Cricetulus griseus: one gene and its partner. The protein of the gene in region 2 purifies or fractionates together with the protein of the main gene of each other region. This does not show direct contact. Links are inferred from orthologs where the notes say so. Each region holds a gene or a part of one and is shown on either strand. Other genes may lie near its edges.

The links. Proteins that work in one complex are often made in the same cells at the same time.
Region 1: the proteins of Ctcf (region 2) and nucleophosmin purify together in Homo sapiens (affinity purification with mass spectrometry; 6 studies listed by BioGRID and IntAct, with this or other methods). This does not show direct contact. The link is inferred for Cricetulus griseus from reciprocal best matches to the Homo sapiens genes CTCF and NPM1.

What each region holds. Positions count from the first base shown.
Region 1 is NC_048600.1:48,343,584-48,353,971, forward strand, and holds the start of nucleophosmin, read right to left. Parts: upstream 5,682-10,388; 5' UTR 5,566-5,681; coding exon 5,508-5,565; intron 4,049-5,507; coding exon 3,969-4,048; intron 3,566-3,968; coding exon 3,446-3,565; intron 3,240-3,445; coding exon 3,146-3,239; intron 2,878-3,145; coding exon 2,771-2,877; intron 2,682-2,770; coding exon 2,620-2,681; intron 1-2,619. UniProt on the Homo sapiens protein: Involved in diverse cellular processes such as ribosome biogenesis, centrosome duplication, protein chaperoning, histone assembly, cell proliferation, and regulation of tumor suppressors p53/TP53 and ARF.
Region 2 is NC_048596.1:181,956,729-181,966,918, reverse strand, and holds the end of Ctcf (transcriptional repressor CTCF), read right to left. Parts: intron 9,405-10,190; coding exon 9,244-9,404; intron 8,301-9,243; coding exon 8,118-8,300; intron 7,508-8,117; coding exon 7,372-7,507; intron 5,393-7,371; coding exon 5,210-5,392; intron 4,015-5,209; coding exon 3,830-4,014; 3' UTR 2,507-3,829; downstream 1-2,506.

The sequences.
Region 1 (10,388 bases), on a different chromosome or scaffold from region 2:
TTAGTCCTCTAGGGAATATAAACTGAACATGATACCGCTTTGCCCATGTTACCCTTTAAAGAGGTAACTTGAAGAACTTCCATATACTGCTGACAATGACCACAGCAACAGCATATCCACAAGAAATTCTCAGCCCATAAAAATGTAATCACTGTCAAAAATCAGTTAAGTCACACACAAATGAATAGGATTCTATGACTTAATTCCTTGAAAAGGCCAATCTACAAAATTCACAAGTAGCTAACTACAGCTTAAGGAATACTAGATAAGAGTTTGGCTAGGGAGGTGCACACTTTTAATCCCAGCCCTTGGGAGGCAGAGGCCTCTTGAGTTCATGGTGGCATGGTCTACAGAATGAGACCCAAGACAGCCAAGGCCTGTTGGGAGGAAATGCACAGAATACAAACCTGCAGTAAAATTTTTAATCTGTTCTGAATCTATAGCTGTTGTCTTAATGCTTCTCCTTTCCTTGAGACAATCAAAGCTCTTCTGCTTTTTTCATTCTAGTGTATGCAGTGTTTGGCAAGGCTTACTTTATTGGCTCTCCCTAAACATTTATTATGTGCCATGAGAATTAAGCTGCCAGATTGCAATTAGCAGAATCCACCTCCAACTACTTGAGTGTTATTACCTCAAAAAAGGAGCTGCTTCTCACTTTCACAATCTAGATAGATCTGAGATGATCTGGATCCACATGACATTTGCTTAAAGTGTGTAAGTACAAAATGGTCTTCAGACACAGTAAGTCTTTTAAAAGGGAGTGAATCACATTACAGGGTAAAATCACTTAAAGTATCTTTAAGTATATATATTTGAGTACACATGTATAAGTTGGGGCTGGAGAGATGGCTCAGCGGTTAAGAGCACTGGCTACTCTTCCAGAGGTCCTTCCAAGCAACCACATGATGGCCCAAAGCCTTCTCTTGATATCTGGTGCCCCCTTCTGGCCTGCAGGCAGAACACTGCATAATAAATTCTAAAACATAAATTCAAAGTTTTAACTATATCTGCATTCAATCTATAAGTTCTACCAACATTGGCCACAGATTTCCACACTAGTCTCATTAAATTGAAAAGCACGAACTTCACATATTAATGACCTTTTCAGTAGTGTGGGAAATCATCTCATTATTATACCATGATGTCAAAAGCCACATGTAAATCCAATGCTTTGGTAGTTTTTTTTTGGGGGGGGGTTTCAAGACAGGGTTTCTCTGTGTAGCTTTGGAGCCTATCCTGGCACTCGCTCTGGAGACCAGGCTGGCCTCGAACTCACAGAGATCCGCCTGCCTTTGCCTCCTGAGTGCTGGGATTAAAGGGTCGCCCCCAACGCCCAGCGCTTTTGGTAGTTTTTAATGCTGGCTTTTAACATACTGCCATTATTGGTCTTTTTATATAAATATAAATATATATACATATATAATTTGAATTTTGGGGAACTTTAGCTGTGCTGTCAACTTTGGAAAAGTATCCCAGTTTACTGCGCTGAGTTGGCATTGTACAAAATTAGCAGCCATATTGGTCTAGAAATGTTTAACTTTTTTTCCATTTGTACAGAGGTAACGCACTGTATTAAATATGTAAGGTCTTAAAAAAAAAAAGGGATTGAGAGCCCATCCCATGTGAAGGGATGCTCTCTTGGCCTGGACACAGGGGGAAGGGCCTAGGCCTGGCCCAGGATGTGGTAGACTATGGGGAGCCCCTTTTGAGGACCTTACCCTGCCTGGGGAGTGGAGAGGGGATGGCTAGGGGCAGGTGGGATGTTGGGGAGGAGAGGGAGAAGGGATTGACATGTGAAGCTTGTTCCTAATTTGAACTAATAAAATAAAATATTAACTTACAATAAAGAGGCACACCATACATCTGATCAATTGTACCATGATCAAAAATAAAAACCCCCATATAAAGGAGGGGAAGGCTGAAATTATGACAAGTTAGGAAGCAGTTATGTGACAAAATGTTCCTCAGTCTTACATATAAAATATGTGATTGTATCAATAGAAGCAAAATTAATAAAACTGCTATGGCAAAAGCCAAACGAAGAAAAATAAAACAAAAAACAAAAACTGGCTTTAGAACCCAAGAGGCTTTCTCTTAACCAGAAACTTCCAATTTATATATAAAATGAGTTATCTTTTCAGATATCCATAACCGGATATTATCATACAAGGTATTTAGGTAATGTGTAACATTACCTAAAAGGAACCATAGATGTATCATTTTTCATGCATTATTCAGTTTGCTAGTTAATCTATATATTAATACCCACTCCCAAATTTGCTTTCCTCAACAGTTCTTACTTCATACATAATGCTTTCAATAAATAAAACATGACCAATTCCACAACTTCTAACAAGATATTCAAAGATAACTCATGTCAAGACATTTCACATCTGTTACAGGCACAACACATGAAATCTTATTTTAACCTATTTTAAACTCAAAAAAAAAAATCAATGTCCCACTGAAAGAATCACAACCTAACAGGCACAAGTGTCTTCACTTTCAACCATCAATCCTTTTTGTCACTTTTAGAAACTATTGGGGCAAATCAATTTTCCTAAAACCCTTCACAGTGCAGTGTGTCAAGTTTCTAAGACCATACAAACTTATACTTACTCTTCATCGTCTTCATCATCTTCATCATCATCATCCTCATCTTCATCGATTTTTACTTTTTTCTTAAAAGAAAAATGTATTTGTGAGAAAGAGTCATTCCTTAGTATTTAACATATTGAAACCAAAAACATTTCCTAAAAAAAAAAATTACCTGTGGAACTTTGCTACCACCTCCAGGAGCAGATCGCTTGCCAGACATACTTAAGAGTTTCACATCCTCCTCATCTTCATCCTCTGACTCTGCATCTTCCTCTACAGCTGAAATAAGATACTCAGGTGTTATCTTTTTATACATTACCAGATTCCTATTTCAGCATAAGACAACTAAGAACTTTTACAAAGTCCATATTGGAGATCTAGGATGATAGCCAATCTAATTACAAGATCTTTGTGGCTAAACCTCAGTATTCAATCCCAAGGACCCAAGTAGTGGCAACAGACGTCTTCTCTAACCTGGCCAAAACACAAATATTAAAAAAAGCCAGTTCCTAATAGAAATACCAGATTTAAAAACCCAAAAACATACCTACTAGATGCTGTCCACTAATGTGCACAGGCCCTGAACCACACCTCAACCGTAACACCACAGGTGGTGTAATTTCAAAGCCACCAAGGGAAACCTAAAAATGAGCAAATTTCAATCATTAAACATTGTTTTAAGAATGTTTTGCACCAAGCATCACCAACAGAGTTATATAATCAATAAACCTATCTAGAAGCCACAGAGATAATCTCACACTAGATATAACTTATTTGAAACATCTTTGCTTATCCTAAATCAGTCTTAGAGACCAACTTTAAAAACAATGTTTACAAATGTACTTACTGTTGGTTGTACGGACATTTTCAATGTTGCCAGCGTTACTTTAATTGGACTGCCTTCATAGTTCATTGCTTCTGCCTCTACGATGTGTAATTCATCTTTTGCCCCTGCCCCTAAACTAACCTGTGAACAAAAAGAAAGATCCTTCAGTACCCAGTTGTTTTATAAACACCCCTTAAATTTTTTAATTAGCCTCTTCTCACTACTGATAACTAGTCCTCTCATATAATTACGAGATGCATAGACACAAAACACTGTATGTTCCTAAGAAAGCCAAACAACCAATAAAATATAGCCAACAGACTTAAAAAGATCACATCCTGCAGAGCCTTACTAGACAACTAATTATAACAGTGACTGTGGAAAAGACACCCAGTTCTTTGTTACCAGTACATATGTGAACTATTTTAAAGTTATAAAAATACTATTTTTCCATCAGTTAAGGAAGCACAAACTGACATAAATCCCCTCACTTAGATCCAAGTGGCTGAAATCTAATGGCTAATTAATTTCAAAGTTTAAGTACCGTTCTTAGTGACAACTGGTGTTCATTCTCATCATTATCCACCTTAAAGTGATAATCTTTGTCAGCTTTTAGTTCACAACCTGTAAAGAAAAAATAAAATAAATCTAGCAAGATGAACATCACAGTCCCAAACGACCATTAACTTCTACTCTTTTAACTTAAAAATGTTCTCTCCGTGGAATCTACTGTATAAGAAAGCCAATAAAAGTTCTACTTTTTCATAGTAACTCACGACCAATTAATGAGGCACCGTTACCATTTTTTCACAGAAAACCCAATGACCTAAAACTGGATTTTTGCATAGTGGCACCATACCATTATCTAGCACTATTTTTAAAAAACCCAACTTACCTACGTTCTAAAGGAAATTACTACAAATCAACAGTGGTTACACATGACCAGTAGGGACAGCTTAAACCCTTCATGCTTAGAGTACATTAAACATGTACTACTCATTCACGTAGGGGAAAGTGCTTTAAACACTCGGAATTTTGAAAAAATTGACTCGAGTCACTGAAAACCAAACTAATAGACTGTAAAACCGATAAGCTGAATGTGCAGTGACAGTGGGGTCCCCAGAAGCCGAGTTACCAAAGTGATCCCTTAATCTGCTAAACGCGGGAGGCACTTCTCTCTCTTCCCCGGCCCAATCAAAAAAAAAAGACCAGTTGTAGGGAAAAGGATAGTTTCGACTTAAGATTTCGTGGCCCTCTCTTAACATCAAGACCCTTCGACCATCAATATCGTCATCGGCAGCGTGGGGCTGACTCCACCTCTTGCAGAGGCACTAAAGGGTCTCTAAAAAAAAGTCACTACCATCACCGTGGATGCTACAAGATCTTAACAAAGACACGGACGCCACGCGCCACTTTACGCGTTTCCCGCCTAGCACTCCTAATTAAACCACAGGACCCGAAGGACCAGGGTTAAGAAGTGAGGAGAGCCCGGATGTAGAGCCCACACCCCCTCCCTACCCCCAACCACGTGGCAACCACGTGTTCCCAGGGGTTGCGGCCCCCTCAGCCGCAGGGAGCTTGGCCGGCCGAGTCCCTGTCAGCGGCGGAACCTCTCGGATGCACGGGGAGGAGGGGCCGAAGCCCCTGTAAAGCCCAGCGGACTGCACTTATACCGTCCCAACGAGGCGGCGCAGGCCGCGCTCCAGAGGCACCATTATCCCGGGACGCGCCTGGGGCCCAGCGCTGAATTTCAGCTGCCTGTTGCCAGGTCCTGAGGCCTTCTTCACGTATGAAGAGAAAGTGTCGTCACAGCCCCTGCTCGCGCCCCAAGCCAAGTTGGCACCCTCGGCCGACCGCCCTCTCAACGCCAGAGGCTCGAGGCTGGGCCGCTGCCGCCCCAAGCTACGGTCCCGCTCAGCGCCCGGGCCTCGGCTTTCTTCGGCTCCCGCGGCCCAGGCGGTTCCTCCCAGCCGTGCAAAGGCCTCCACCCACGCCGCGCTTGGCACACGCCAGGCCTCAACTGGACTCCCGCCGCCCCCCCAACCACCAGGCCCTGCCCAGGCCCTCCCCGCCAGGCAGTTACCGAAAAGGTAGTTCTGTGGCCTAAGAGGGCTCATGTCCATGTCCATCGAGTCTTCCATGAGGTGGAGACGCGCACTTCGGTATGCGAGATATCGGACGGAGGAAACTGCCTACTGCTCCTCAGAACAGACAAGCAGGACGGAATCACGCCAGGGAAAGGACGCGGGCTCGCCGCACGTATATATGGCCGCAGCAAATCTCGCGAGATCTGCCCTAGTCCCGCCTCCGCGAGCGTGCTCCGGATCCCCCACTTCCCGCACTGTCTCGCTCTTGCGCAAGCGCTGTCCTATCCCACGCCTCTCTACCTCCCCTCCCCACCTCTTCCAGGTGCTTGGCGGGCTCGCACTACGCACGCGCGTCCTCCCTCTGGCCCCGCCCCTCCAGCGCGGTTGCCCGAGCGCAGGCGCACTTTCCCTTTGTAACGCGCTCCAGCCCTCCGAAGCTACCACGTTTCGGCTTCTCCACGCGGGCCCTGCGCGGAGAGGCTGCGCAGCCCACCCTAAAAGATGGCGACTGCCGGCCGGGAACCAGCGGGCGACTCCCTTCGCTGTTCTTCGCCCTCCGGTTCTCGGTAGACCTGCAACAGGCATAATCTCAGGATTTGACCTCCTCGAAGGCTTGGTCTTATTTTATCCTTTTCCCATAGAGCTTCAGGAGCCAAAGGCAGGACAGACGGATCATTAGTAGAATGATTCTCTGCTTGCCACTTTGTCAGCCTTTTTTTTTTTTTTTTTTTTTTTTTTTGTGGTTTTTCCACACAGGGTTTCTCTGTAACAGCCCTGGTTGTCCTGGAACTCACAGGCTGGGTTCAAACTCCCAGGGATCCGCCTGTCTCTGCCTCCCGAGTGTTGCGATTAAAGGCATTCGTCACCACCGCCCGGCATCAGCCATACTTTTTATACCTCTTTTCTGAGGCAGCATCTCCAAAGTCTTAAGTTCTCAGCTTTACGTCATTCGAGGGCCAAAGAGCACCTTTCTAAAAGTTTAGAGGTGTGTGCAGAATTGAGAACACGCAGGTCATCCTTATCATTCCAAATGAAGGCATATGACTTCTAAGAAATACAGGAGCCTTGATTAGAATCTTTGGCTGGGAAATAGCATTTTAAACTGCGTCCCGACAAACATCCCTCAACATTGGGTGCGTACTGAGAGCAGCCCTAATCTTTTTATCTCAACATAGCTAGCAAATGAAAAGGTTACTGGGAGGAATGTGAGTAATGGTATTCATGCCCCCAGACTCTTTACTCCAGAGATGGTCCAATTGGGAAGACCAGTTGAGTATAAAACGTATGAGCAGATTATTAACCAAATCCTAAATTTGGGGGGGAAAAAATCAGCCTCAAGATGTGAATGGGGCCCAGTGAATTTCCACTTTACAACTACTAGAGTAAATCCTGAAACTTGGAAGTACTGTCTATGTAAGCAACTGAGATAAACGGGAAAAGGGAAAACCACAAGTGAGCAGTCTGGCCATTCAAAATTCGAAGGCTTCTAGTCTAGGAGGGAGAATGTTCTTAGAGCCAGGGCGGGTCAAAAAACTACTTCATTGTTTCCTAGATTCTGGATCATTTAAACACAGCACATGCAGGGGGTTGGGGAGAGAGAAAAGCCTTTAATCCCAGTACTCAGGAGGCAGAAGCAGGGAGATCTCAAATGTTCAAGGCCAGACTGGTCTACAGAGCGGGTTCTAGGACAACCAGAGCTACACAGAGAAACCCTGTCTCCAAAAACAAACAAAAGAAACACATCTAATGCAGACACTAAACTATTTGGGAGCTATCACTAATGAAAACACACTTGTTGCAACATTTCAGGCACCTTGTCTAAATATAAACTCATGGGATTGAAGGATTAGGAGTTACACAGACTCCCTGTTGGGCAGACCGATAGGGAGAGGGGCTAAGGCGAGATAATAAAGCCATCTCCAAGATGGCCAGCTTTTTCCTTAACCACCTACCTTGAGACAAAAGGCCTTGTAGGCTATTGTCTCCCACCAGCAGGCCTCCTCCTGACAGACAGGCTCAACAAGTTCAAGGCCTGCTCAGGACATCACACAACAGTTCTGGAACAATCAAATGCCCTAACTTTCTTCAAACTGACAAACCATAAATTAGGGGAGGAAAACTCTTCAGAGACTTAAAATCCCAGCCCTGGACAGGGGGCTGGATTTTCCAGCTTCACAGAGGGTCTTTTCTCTGTGTGTCTCTGCATACATAGGCTTCCTCACCACCAATAAACACCTTCCTGATCCTGTCTGCAGAGTTCTCTGCTGCTACATGTTGTACTTCAGATTTTTCCTGCCTTTAATTCTTTAACTGTCAGAGAAAATAAACCTAATCAAGACCCCTACACTGTATCAGAATCATGGATTTGTTTTGTTTTTTTAAGTGTTTATTTGTAGTAATATTTATGATTTATTAACGCATGCCTGAGGATTCAGAAAGCAAAGTTAGCCATGAGCCACAGAAGCCAGGCACACACCTTTATTCCCAGCAGCCAGAAACTAGGAGGTGGTGGTACACACCTTTAATTTTAGGATTAAGAGGTAGACAGATCTCTGTGAGTCCAAGGCCACCCAGATCTACACAAGATAAACAGCTCACACAAAGATGATCTCAGCACCTGGGATCACACGCCTTTAATCCCAACATTAGTGAGGTATATAAAACACAGGATCAAGGTCTCAGTATTAAACATTCATTCTCCAGTCACACTGAAAATAGGAGCATTCATTCTCCATCCATATTGAGGATTCTCAAGCCATGCTGAGGAGAGGCAGCAGGATCAGCCCATTCAGCCTGAGGTAGTGGCCCACTACTTTGCTTTTCTGTTTTTCAGCTTGAAGTTTGAACCCCAATATCAGTCTCTGGGTCTTTTATGTTTTGTGTTACATTTGTTAAAAATGTATTTTTAAGCCAGCCTTAAAATGGTGGTGCATGCTTTTAATCCCAGCACTTGGGAGGCAGAGGCAAGTAGATCTCTTGAGTTTTGGGCCACCTGGCCTACAGAGTTCCAGGACAGCCAGGGCTACACAGAGAAACCTTGTCTCAAAAAAATAAGCAAAACCTGTGTTTTTAAGGTAGCCATAAAAGAATGTTTATTGTCTTTTTCATTGCAATTATATAGGCCTATGCAAATTGAAACATATATAATATAATGTCTCAAAAAACAAAAATAATAATAGTAAAATAAAAATAATCCCAGCACTCAGGAGGCAGAGGCAGGCAGACCTCTGTGAGTTCAAGACCAGCCTGGTCTACAAGAGCTAGTTCCAAGACAGCCTCCAAAGTCACAGAGAAACCCTGCCTCAAAACCTGCCCCCCCAAAAAAGAATATAGTCAAATTGTACCTTAGTATCTTTGTACACATATCCTTATGAATACCCTAACACAGCTTAATATGATAATAATCTCAAAAATGGACTTGTACAGAACTGACAGCAAAATAAATATTTTCTGCACAGCAAAGGCCACACAATTACCAGAGCGGAGAAACACATCACAGAATGAAAGAAAATGCTTGCCAGCTATTCCTCAGACAAACAACAAATCTCTAAAATATAACTAAAGACCTTAATAATGATAAGTTAGTCAAAATGAGAAATAGATATTTCTCAAAAGAAAAATATTAATCATAAATATATGAAAATGCTCAATATCATTATTCATTGAGGGTATACAAATCTAATCACAATGGGGGCCTCTTAACCCCAGTTAGAATATCTACTGTAGAAAAGAAAACTTACTACAGGTTTAGATGTTGGCAAAATGAACATGTACATATATTTTGTGGGAACATGAATTAGTAGAAACACTAAAGAAATCTGAAGGTTCCTCAAAATTGAATTTACAGTGATTTGGTTGCATCCCTTTCGGGTATATGTTTGAATCAGCATACAATACAGATACCTGTGTGCCTATGTTTGTTGAGTTGTTATTCACAGTGACTAAGAAAATGGGATTAGATAACAACATCATATGAAGCTGTGGGAAGTGTTGGGGAAAGAGAAGGCGTTTTGGTTTTTTTGTTTGTTTGTTTGTTTGTTTGTTTGTTTGTTTGATTGATTGATTTGGTTTGGTTTTTTCAAGACAAGGTTTCTCTGTGTAGCTTTGGAGCCTGTCCTGGAACTGGCTTTGTAGAGCAGGCTGGCCTCAAACTCACAGAGATCTGCCTGCTTCTGCCTCTTGCTAAGTACTGGGGTTAAAGGTGAGATTAAAGACTAGTGCCTAGGTATATTTTTTTTAAGATTTATTTATTATGTATACAGGTTCTGTCTGCGTGTATGCCTGCAGGCCTGAAGGCACCAGATCTCATTACAGGTGGTTGTGAGCCACCATGTGGTTGCTGGGAATTGAACTCAGGACCTTTGGAAGAGCCGCAGTGCTCTTAACCACTGAGCCACCTCTCCAGCCCTAGTTTTTTTGTTTTGTTTTAAATTGGTTTTTAATGCTTCCTGAGGTCCTGCTTTGGACTCTGAGCCCAGAGACCTGAAAAGCAAACAGATATAAATGGACTTTCATAGTAAAAGGGCAGAAACCTGCAAGTATATGTTCATGAAGTACAACCTCTTACTTTTTGCAAAAGGAAAGCCATGTTTTACTTGAGCTCTCCTTGCCCTCCTGCCACCTGCCTGCACGTTGAATGTCTCTGTATGATACAACATACTGAGGTACAATGAGTAGGACAGAATATGTACTATCTTTTTTATGATTCCAGGTTTTTATTATTAGTTTTGAGCACATTTTAAAGCATAAAAATTGAATCCTATGACCAACTCTCTTTTTCAACAGTTTTCATATACATATGGCATGCTATTTAATATACATCTTTCCACCTGCAGATTTGAGTATTGGCAGGAGGATAGTTCTGGAACTAGTTGATC
Region 2 (10,190 bases):
TGCCGACTTCCACCAAATCATAGGACAAGACAGGAAGTAGAAATGGAGAAAGTAGAAAGTAGAAAGTAGAAAGTAGAAATTGGGGAACGACACAGTCATTTTAAGATGAACATGGTAGGACAGCTTAAGGCTGATAGGATAGGGAGCGATTGGCTAGAGCAGATGCAGTCAGAACCAAGATGTTCTGATGCCTCTCAGCCTGAGACTGACATGTAAGACTTTAAGGCCATCTGGAATTCACAAATAGCTTATAGGGTGGCAGAAATTAGTCTCATGCTCATTATGGCCAAGAATGTGGGTTTTGAAAGACAAAGTGAATGAATTTTGACAATTAGCCTCACTAGTCTTTTGAAAGCTATTGACTGGGGCTGGAGAGATGGCTCAGAGGTTAAGAGCACCGACTGCTCTTCCAGAGATCCTGAGTTCAATTCCCAGCAACCACATGGTGGCTCACAACCATCCGTTATAAGATCTGGTGCCCTCTTCTGATGTGCAGATATACATGGAAGCAGAATGTTGTATACATAATAATCTTTAAAAAAAAAAAAAAAGCTATCGACTGACACCTGAGTTACTCCCAGAACTTGGTTTGTGTGTCTATGCACTTTGTGTGGGTGCACACAGGGGTCAGAAGGGTATCAGATCACCCAGAGTTATAGGTAATTGTGCCCTGCCCGCAGTGGGTGCTAGAACCAAATTCTGGTCCTCTACAAGAGCAGCAAGTGCCTTAACCACTGAACCATTTCTCCAGCTCCCTTTTTGTTGGCACGGGGCTCTTGCTATCCCTGGCTGTCAGGTACTATGTAGTTCAAGCTGGCCTTAAGCTTGTGGCAATCCTCCTTCACCTCCTGAGCGCCAGAATTGCTTCTGAGCACCAAGCCAGCGTTGAATTCCTGCCTCCTCCAAAGTGCTGGCATTACAGTGGTGTGCCAGCATGACTGGCTGTGATGTTTATTTAGAGATGTGTATTCAGTGAGTACTTCCATCTACCAAGCCTACCATGGCATCTCTGGGACTTCTACCCCCCTCTGCCCTCTAGAACTTTTCTCATTAAAATAAGAAGGGGTGACTGTCAAAGGGCGATAGAAGTGCCCAGGCAGAAGCACCCTCCTGGTCAAGGCCAGACAGAACACTAACAGGGTTATTCCTATGCCTCGAGTGCTTGAGGCAGATAGGGACTACTGGAAAAAACAGGATCTACAGAGGTAACCAAGTCTAGCTTACAGCTGCTTGTGGTTGGTACAGTAGTGACAAACAAATCTGAGACCAAGAACACTCAAGACAGATTCTGCGGGTGATGTGGAAGCTCAGCAGGACAAAAAAACTTAATGCTGAGGAACATTGGATGAGGGCTCATTCACCGCAAGTGGTTTTACTAGAAAAAGAACCTGACTAAGAACCTGTTCTGAGGGCTCACAGAACAGGACAGCTGTGGACAGGGCTGAAGCCAGGCCAGAAATGTAAAGAATGTATTACAGACTATAGATTACTGATTACTGCAGGCTCAGCAATTTGCTAAGCTTTCACAGTAGAATAGGGGTGATGGCCAGCTGGATGTAGAGGGGTTAATGGACTCATGTCAGGTGTAGCACAAGCTGTGCAAAACCGTTCTTTAGCTCCATCAGAACTTCACTTCCTGCTTGACCCTTTCACCAAGCTAGCCCAAGACAGATGCACTCTTGAATTTTCAGGAAATTTGAATATACATAAACAGGGGGGGGGGCATACTGGCTGACTGTTCTGTAAAAGGGATTTTCTAATTATAAATAACTCTAGTTCTAACAGTCCAAGGCTGTTAGTACTCATTTAGGTGAGATGCCTGCCTGGTTTGGAACCTTCCAGACTCAAGAAGCCCATTGTTGTTTTCCTCATTAAATTGCTCGAACAGGTAACACAAGCCAGCTACAAGCTGCGTGAATCTTGCCCTTTGCCTTTTTCTCACAGAAAAGCATCTGAAAACCAGTATTGGACTTTTGGTGAAATAACACACAGAGACAGGAGAAATCCAATAAGGAGTATTTTTAGTGAAACACCCCCCCCACACACACACAATGTGGTTTCCACTACAATGTATTATCTGACGACCCCCCCCCCCCCGTGGAGCTAAGGAATAAGAATTATCACCTGAGTTTGTCCTCAGCCTGTCTTACTTTTCCAATGCTCTTTGTCTCTCACAGGTTGAGCTCAGCTTTTCTGCTCCCTGTCTGGCTAAAAACTAGGACAGACCGTAAATCTTCCTAAAGCAGATCTCAAGGACACAGCATCCTCTGGCAATGCCTGTTGTGTAAGGGGCAGGCATCTCAGGTGTACCGTGGAAACAGGAGGCTATGTTAAGCATGCACTTCTCTATCCCTGCACACTTGTTGGCACTACGACTTGAAACAGGATACATTCCATGCTGTGGTCTGCCAGGACCATCGAGCTACAGGCTGTTGCTTAGAGGAAGCTGAGATAGGCCCCGAGGGACCCCAGCTAACAGGAATCACAAAAGATGGAGTCTGCAGAGTGCCTGTTAATCCGTTATGATTTATTAGCTGTACAGCAGTAGATCCTCCTCCCCAGCTTTCAACCCCATTACATATTTTATTACAGGTCTCATGTTGGCGTCCTAAAATAATGAAAAATATCACACAGTACAGCTAAGTACAAAAATGCATCAACCTAGAGTCTGATAGCTAACTGATGGCTCTCTTAAAAGCAATACACGGAAGAAAAAAAGTGTTTGAAATCAGTCAGACTGAGGCTCTTTTAAAAAAACACATATCAACATGTGACAATTCATGTGCAAGAATCACTTTTTAAGTTGGTTTGCTTCACATTATTATTAATCATTTTTCTTTCTTTTTTTTTTTTTTCCAGATCCAAAGTTTAAATTACTGACCTAGTGAAATTTTTTGGCCCAGCTTGCCAGGGCTGCTGTGACCCATTCATAATCAACTCTTCTGGCTTTAACAAAGATTTAAAAAATATAACATTCAGCTACAAACAGAGCAAAGGAAATGTTGATGGGAAATCATAAATGAGAGTTATTTGTTCAAGGTTCAAATGCTGGCTCCATGAGCTGGAAATCACAACTTTCGACATGGGTGTCCATCACTAGCAGGCAGCAGGCCCGATGCCCTTCTGCCACATGATTGTGATAGATACAACATTTACACACCACCCAGTCCCTGGTACCTTAATTTGCAAGTAATTAAAATGCTGGGTTTTCTTACACTGCGCTTCTTTTCAACCTCTTAATTAATGGAAAAGATTAAAATGTAAAAAAGGTTATTTACAAGCTTGACCATACCAGAAACTTTGCCAAGAAAGAGGCAAAGCATTCAGGACAGAAACTGATCGTAGCATGCCATCCTACTGGTGTGCAGCTGACTCCTAGCAAAGGGAGTCAGGGAAAAGCAAAAGCAAAAACCAGGTTAAAAGTCTTAAGTCTTTCCCAAGTCTGCATTTACAATTAAAAACTCTTCTTGGGAAGACCATAGAACTCTGGGAAACCCGTGGCCATTCTGGAGTGGTTTACTAAATCAAGAGAGAGGGCTCAATGTCTCTGTTTCCATCTAAGAAAACTAGTTAGGCATCAACACTGTCCTCAGCACTTCACAGTAAACCCTCAGAGACTTGGAACATTCCATGATTTGCTAACATCAAACAACAAGTTCTAGTAAATCACATTTTTCTAACATCATCCTTGAAGTTTTCGTTCTCAGTATGTTTGGTAAAATGGTGTAAAATTATGCCGTTCCCAAAGCCAAAAGAAAAGAGAAAAATTAAGATGTGGGCCGTTTAAACACAGCCCCAATAGTCCTGGTGACGAGCAAGGGCCCCGTCATCACCGGTCCATCATGCTGAGGATCATCTCAGGCGTGAGGTCTCCATTGGGGGCATCTGTGGTGGCTGCTTGAGCCTCCTCTTCGTCCCCTTCCACAGGCTCAGCATCTGGCTCTTTTTTGACTTCAACTATAATGTTCTCAATTGCACCTGTATTCTGGTCTTCAACCTGAATGATGGCTGTTGCTGGCAAAGAAGAGCAGGAACAAAACAAATAGTACATTAAAGTCCACAGAGAGTACAGGGATCCTTTCAGATACTGACAAGGTGGGGGAGGGGGGGATATATCAACATAGACAGCAAAAGTGAAAAAAGCACAAGCAAGCCTCAGCTAATGTTAAAGTGGTCACACATAAAAAAACCAATAGGCTAGAAACTGTCACACCAAATGCTGACATCCACCTTCATAGGCCTCCAAACTGCACTGTTAAGATGTTTAGTTTTCCTTTATGTTTGTTGTGAATTTAGGATTTACAGTAATATGAGGCAGGGGAAGAAAATCCAACCGCACACATGACTGGGAATACATCAGTGTATGATGCCGATGATATTTCTGACTCTATAGTGCTCCTGATCCAGTGTATATAGGTGAAAGGCAGAGCCTGGTTCTAGCTCTAAAGTTAACTTCCTTCTTTGTGATGGACATGTAAACACGGGCTCAGGAAGAATATTTAACATATTAGAGACGAAGTGAATAGAGAGTAAACTTCTGTTCTACCTGTGCCTGAAAGGGACACACCACGCCATCCCTGACACCTCAGTTCTGCTTTTCTCTTTCCCTTCCCCTCCTCATCATGTAGCCCAGGCCAGCCCCAGTCCTCCAGGTGTTGAGACTGTGGGTGACAATGACACTCACAGCTTTGTGGACCAGAATCCTCTCTAGATGGGCACTCTCAGTCCACTCATTTTATCCCATCCCTTGAAATCTGGCTCCCTTCTATCCATAACCACATCAACTTTACAGGCCACAGTGACTGGTTGTTTTCTAAACCCTCCTACATCAACAGTGTACCTGCCTCTAGGACATCAGCATCCTTCTACTTTGGAATTTTTTTTTTTTTTTTTTTTTTTCTGAGACAGGGTTTCTCTGTGTAGCCCTGGCTGTCCTGGAACTCAGAGATCCACCTGCCTCTGCCTCCCAAGTGCTAGGATTAAAGGTGTGCACCATCACCCAGCCTACTCTGGACTTTTTCTGTAGGAATATAACAGGCTTTTAGAGAAAACTTCTTTAAAAAAAATAAAAAAGCTTCCTGAGAGTCTGTTGCCAATGTGACCTTCACTTGTTTTCATGGCTTAGTTCCCATCTTCACAAGAACACAGACCAATCTGGCTTCCTCAAATGAGAGAGATGATGCCAACTGAGCCAAGGCAGGCAACTTACGCTGGTTCTGTTTGGGCTGGTTGGTTCTTCCAGGAGGTCGTCCTCTCCTCTTCTTGGCAGGTGGTGGGGCTGGGGCCACAGGCTGAGGCTGAGGCTGAGGCTGAGGCTCTGGCTCAGGTTCAATTTCTACAGCAGGCTCCTCCTCCTCCTCATTGTCATCCAGATCTGGCTCAGCGTTTTCTTCTCAAGAAATCAAGGCACAGGTGGTGGGTCAAGCAGAGTGGTGAAAGAGACAGCAGACAAATGTTCTGAAAACAGTCTATACTTCTAGCACTTGGGAGGTAGAGGCAGGCAGATTCTGAGTTCAAGGCCAGCCATGGCTACGTAAAGAAACCCTGTGTCCACTCCACCCCCCAAAACCAAAACCGAACAAAAAAGGGCTTTTACCAAAATTTTGCTATCAGCATTGATTAGGTAAACTGGTCCTGTGAAGAAGTATTCAAATTATATATTTCAACTATGCCTTACTTTGACATTTCACATGGGGTGCCCATTACTTTTCCCTTTTAGCTTTAGTGTAAGAATACTGAGGTTTTGTTTTGTTTTAAACATTTTATTTATTACATATACAGTCTTCTGCCTGCATGCCAGCAGAGGGCACTAGATCTCATTCAAGGTGGTTGTGAGCCACCATGTGGTTGCTGGGAATTGAACTCAGGACCTCTGGAAGAACAGTCAGTGCTCTTAACCGCTGAGCCATCTCTCCAGCCCAAGAATACTGAGTTTATGTCAGGTGTGGTGGCACTCAAGAGGCAAAGGAAGACAGATCTCTTGAGTTAGAGGCCAGCTTGGTCTACATAAGGAGTTCAGGGAGAGCCAGGGTTACAAGAGAAACCCTGTCGTGAAAAATTGTAAAACAAAAACACCCGCCCCCCAAAAAAACCCCAAGCTTAAAACCATAGAACCATTTTCATCTCTTATCAGTTATGTGACAAACTACAAAACGGTGCTTGAGGAAATAAAACACACATTCCTCTTATTATACAGGATAAAGCAGGAGACTGAGCTGAAGTTGAAGCAGGGGAGACGGAGATGCTCGTCTCTGACTGGACAGTATGTGTGAGTACATGCCCACCTATTTGAGAAGGAAATACAAAACTGTTGATGCAATACAAGGCTCTTTTTTTCTAGAATAATCCCAGCCTTTGAAAGCATTAAATTAAAGAGAGTGAATTACTAAAGAGAATACAGATAAGGAGTCAGATAAGGCTGTGAAGTCTCAGATCTCTTATTCGGTGTACTGACTTGACAGACAGCTCCCCTCCATTTCCTTGAGTAGTATCTATAGGACCTCAAACCATTGAACAGTGGTTTGAGGAATAAAGAATGAGACAGACACAAGTCCGTACTCAAGATTCTGAGGCAAGAGACCTGAGAGTTTGAGGCCACCCTGGGCTAGTTTATATAAATACAGCCTGTATTTATATTGTTCATCAGAACATAAAAAGTTCCTTTTATTAGGCTTCTTTATTAGGCCTTGATTATTTTAGTTAAGAGGTGTTATTTGTGTAGCCTTGGCTGTCCAGGAACTCTGTAGACCAGCCTGGACTTGAACTCACAGAGATTCCCCTGCCTCTGCCTCCCAAGTGCTGGGATTAAAGGTGTGTGCCACCAACGCCCAGCCTGGAAAATTCTTAAAAGTAACAGAAACTGCTGGTCAATCTCTGCAGATGGTTGAGAGAACTTTGCTAGCAGTAGGACATTTTCCAACATTTAGGAAGAAGGAAAAAGAAACACTACCTTAAGGCCCTGAAAGAAACGAGTAATGCAAGACAAAAGAAGAACTGCAGAACTCTACTGGGGCCATCAATAATTTCTTCAGAGACAGAACAGGAACAAAACAGTGGCAGGAAAAGGCATGGGATAGGGTCTATGACAGCAGAAAGCTCTGCAACAAGCTCATAGTTACTGTCAACACTTGTAACTTCTGGGGTTTATCTGATATCCTTAATGCCAGGGCTAGCCTGAATTTGCTGGCATTGAACCCCTGTTCTATCTTCCTGCTTCCAACTCCAGAGGAACATACCACCATGCCTGGCTTTACAAAGACTACAAGCATAAAAGAAGAGTGATCTTCTTGCCTCTATATCCTACACTTATTTTCTGGGAACTGGGTCTCCAAATGTGTCACCTCTAACCGAGTCAACAAATGATCCACTTACCACTGTCAGAGGAGTCTTCTTTTTTAGAACGCATCTTTCTTTTTCTTCCTCGTTTGCTCTTTTTAGTCTCTCCTCCATTTTCCCCTTCCACACCATCTGGACCAGCACAATTATCAGCATGTCTTGCCATTGTATTCTGACAAAAGGAACAAACCTTGTTTCACACTACTAAAAGAGCTAAGTTCAGGCTGGAACTTTAATTAAATAAAAACAAACTTTAAGGAATCCATAAAGTCCCAAAGGACTGATAACTATATTGAACATACTCCTCCTCCCCCATTGAGGGGAGATGGGACAGCATCTGGAGCAATTAAGAGAAGGGGAAAGAGACTGAGAGAGGAAGGGAGTGAAGGAAGCATCTGTCAGAAGATAAGGCTGGGCCCCTGGGGATAGGGGAAAGCTTAGTGGCTTAGTGCTTATAGTCATTGGTGGGGGAAGGGGCATTGTCAGTCAGCTGGCCAGTCCTTACTTGGCTAAACAACACAGAAAGGAGACTCAAACTAGCTAGGGATAAAATGGAATGCAGATTTCAATCTACCCAAGGAAATGCCTTTTAATCACTAGCCTACTCAAATATATTGCAGTCCCTACCAATAGAAGGCAGAAGAGCTTGGGATAGGGATGAATAACTCTTTCCAAATGGCAAAGCATCTCTACATTTATAACTATAGTGGCAAAAACAGCATTCTGGAATGGCAGATCAAGAACGTGTTATTAAGAACCACAATGGGAAAACTGATCCTTACCCGGCGAGTGAATGTTTTCCCACACTTGGAACAGACAAAGGCTGCAGGGACAAAGTTGGGGTCGTGATAACGCTTGAAGTGCATGTCAAGGAGCTGTTTCTGGCGGAAGGTCTTGTCGCAGTGACTGCAGGCATAAGGCTTCTCGCCCGTGTGAGTGCGCTTGTGCATGATCATGTGCCTCTCCTGAAAACAGAACTGCTTGTCAGAAAGGCCTCAGATGGTCACAGAGCTGCTACTCCAGCTGCCATAGGCCTTTCATCTTCAAGGAGTTAACACCATTTGTCATAATGGTGACAGCCTATTCACAGGGATGCAGAACTGCTGCCCTAAATGCTGCTCACCTGTTTGGCTGCTTTTCTAACTTCCCTTGAAGAGACATTACAGGGCTAGATTTCTTTTCCTTCTCAAGTCTTAGACTTAATATCCATGGAGATATTTGGTTTGTTTTTTCCCCAGACATGGTCTCATGTAGTCCAGGCTGGATTCTAATTCACAATGTAGTGAAGAATAACTTTAATTGTCTCCTGACTCTCCCAAGTGCTGAGATTATAGATGAGTGCCACCACACCCAGCAAAAAGCACCTACATAAAAGTTTTAAACATTTTACAATATTGGGGATATTACTAGCAACTTAGCCACATATCCCCTTTTCAAGAAAGAAGCTGATGGTGTGCCTTAAGATATCAACTGTGATGCAAAGTGCATTAAATGGAGACACAGATCCAACTAAGTGACAAAGAATAGCATCTCTGATTTTGGTAGTATTCCTTATACTCATCTGCAGGAAGGGCTTTAATCCCAGCACTCAGGAGGCAGAGGCAGGTAGATTTCTGTAAACTCGAGGCCAGCTTGGTCTACAAAGCAAGTTCCAGGACACAGAGAAAGCCTGTCTTGAAAAAAACAAACAAACAAACAAATAAAAACAAAACAATGCCCCCACCCTCCAGAAACAACACACACACACACACACACACACACACACACACACACACACACACACACACACACACACACACACACACACCAAACAACCAACCAACTAACTACAACAAAACTAGATAGGCTAAGCCTTTTGATAGTACCTTACATGGACAGAATACCAATGCTTTCTAAGATAGCACCTACCTGTCTACAAGCATAATCACACTGGTCACACTTGAAGCGCTTCTCGTTTTTATGTGATTTTTGATGCTGGATGAGAGCATAGCGCTCATGAAACACAGCATCACAGTAGCGACATTTTTTGCCCTGCTCAATATAGGAATGCTGCTTTCGCAAGTGGACACCTGTAAATAAAATATAAAGCCAATTTGAACTTGTACAAACACAAATTAATATTTCAAAAACTTGCTCCACAGCCTAAGAACATGAGATCAGAAGTAAAACACTTGCATAGCAGGTGTGAGACCCTGGGCTCAGTCCCTACCTCCCTTCCCTATCTCTAATCCACCAATAACAACAGGTGGAGAGACCAGTGGGTGGAAGATGGAAACCTGAACAAAGAGGACGATATTAGACATGGAGGCCAGGAAGGGAGATCAATAGGAATTAACTGACAAAGAGAAAAGTGGATGCTGCAGATGACACCAAATGGCACAGCCATTTACAGAGATGAGAATGGTGGAAAGAGGGAAAGCTGTGTTTATTCTGGCAGGGGAGTATAAGTCATTTTAGAACTACACTGAATTTGAAACAATGACATTAACACACAGAAAGAGAACTCAAGATGATCCTATGTGTAAGCATGGTTACATTCCTACAGATGAATTCTCCCTCTGTGTAATTCTGGCTTATCTATATACAAGAATAGTTACCACCAAACCAGTAAAGTACTCCCATTACTGAGAGAATGTATAAATACTCTTAAAAACCAGAAGGAAACTGACCTTAATCTGAAACATATGTTACTTTCTGAACATTTAGGGGATGAAAGCTACTATTACGGGTATACTGGTTCCCATTTAACTTATGTGTAATCTATATTCAGGATATATTATCTTGTAGTGAGACTCCAATAGAGAGAAGATATTGGGGGGAGGGAGCTAAGCAATGATTTCATTAATTAGTAAACT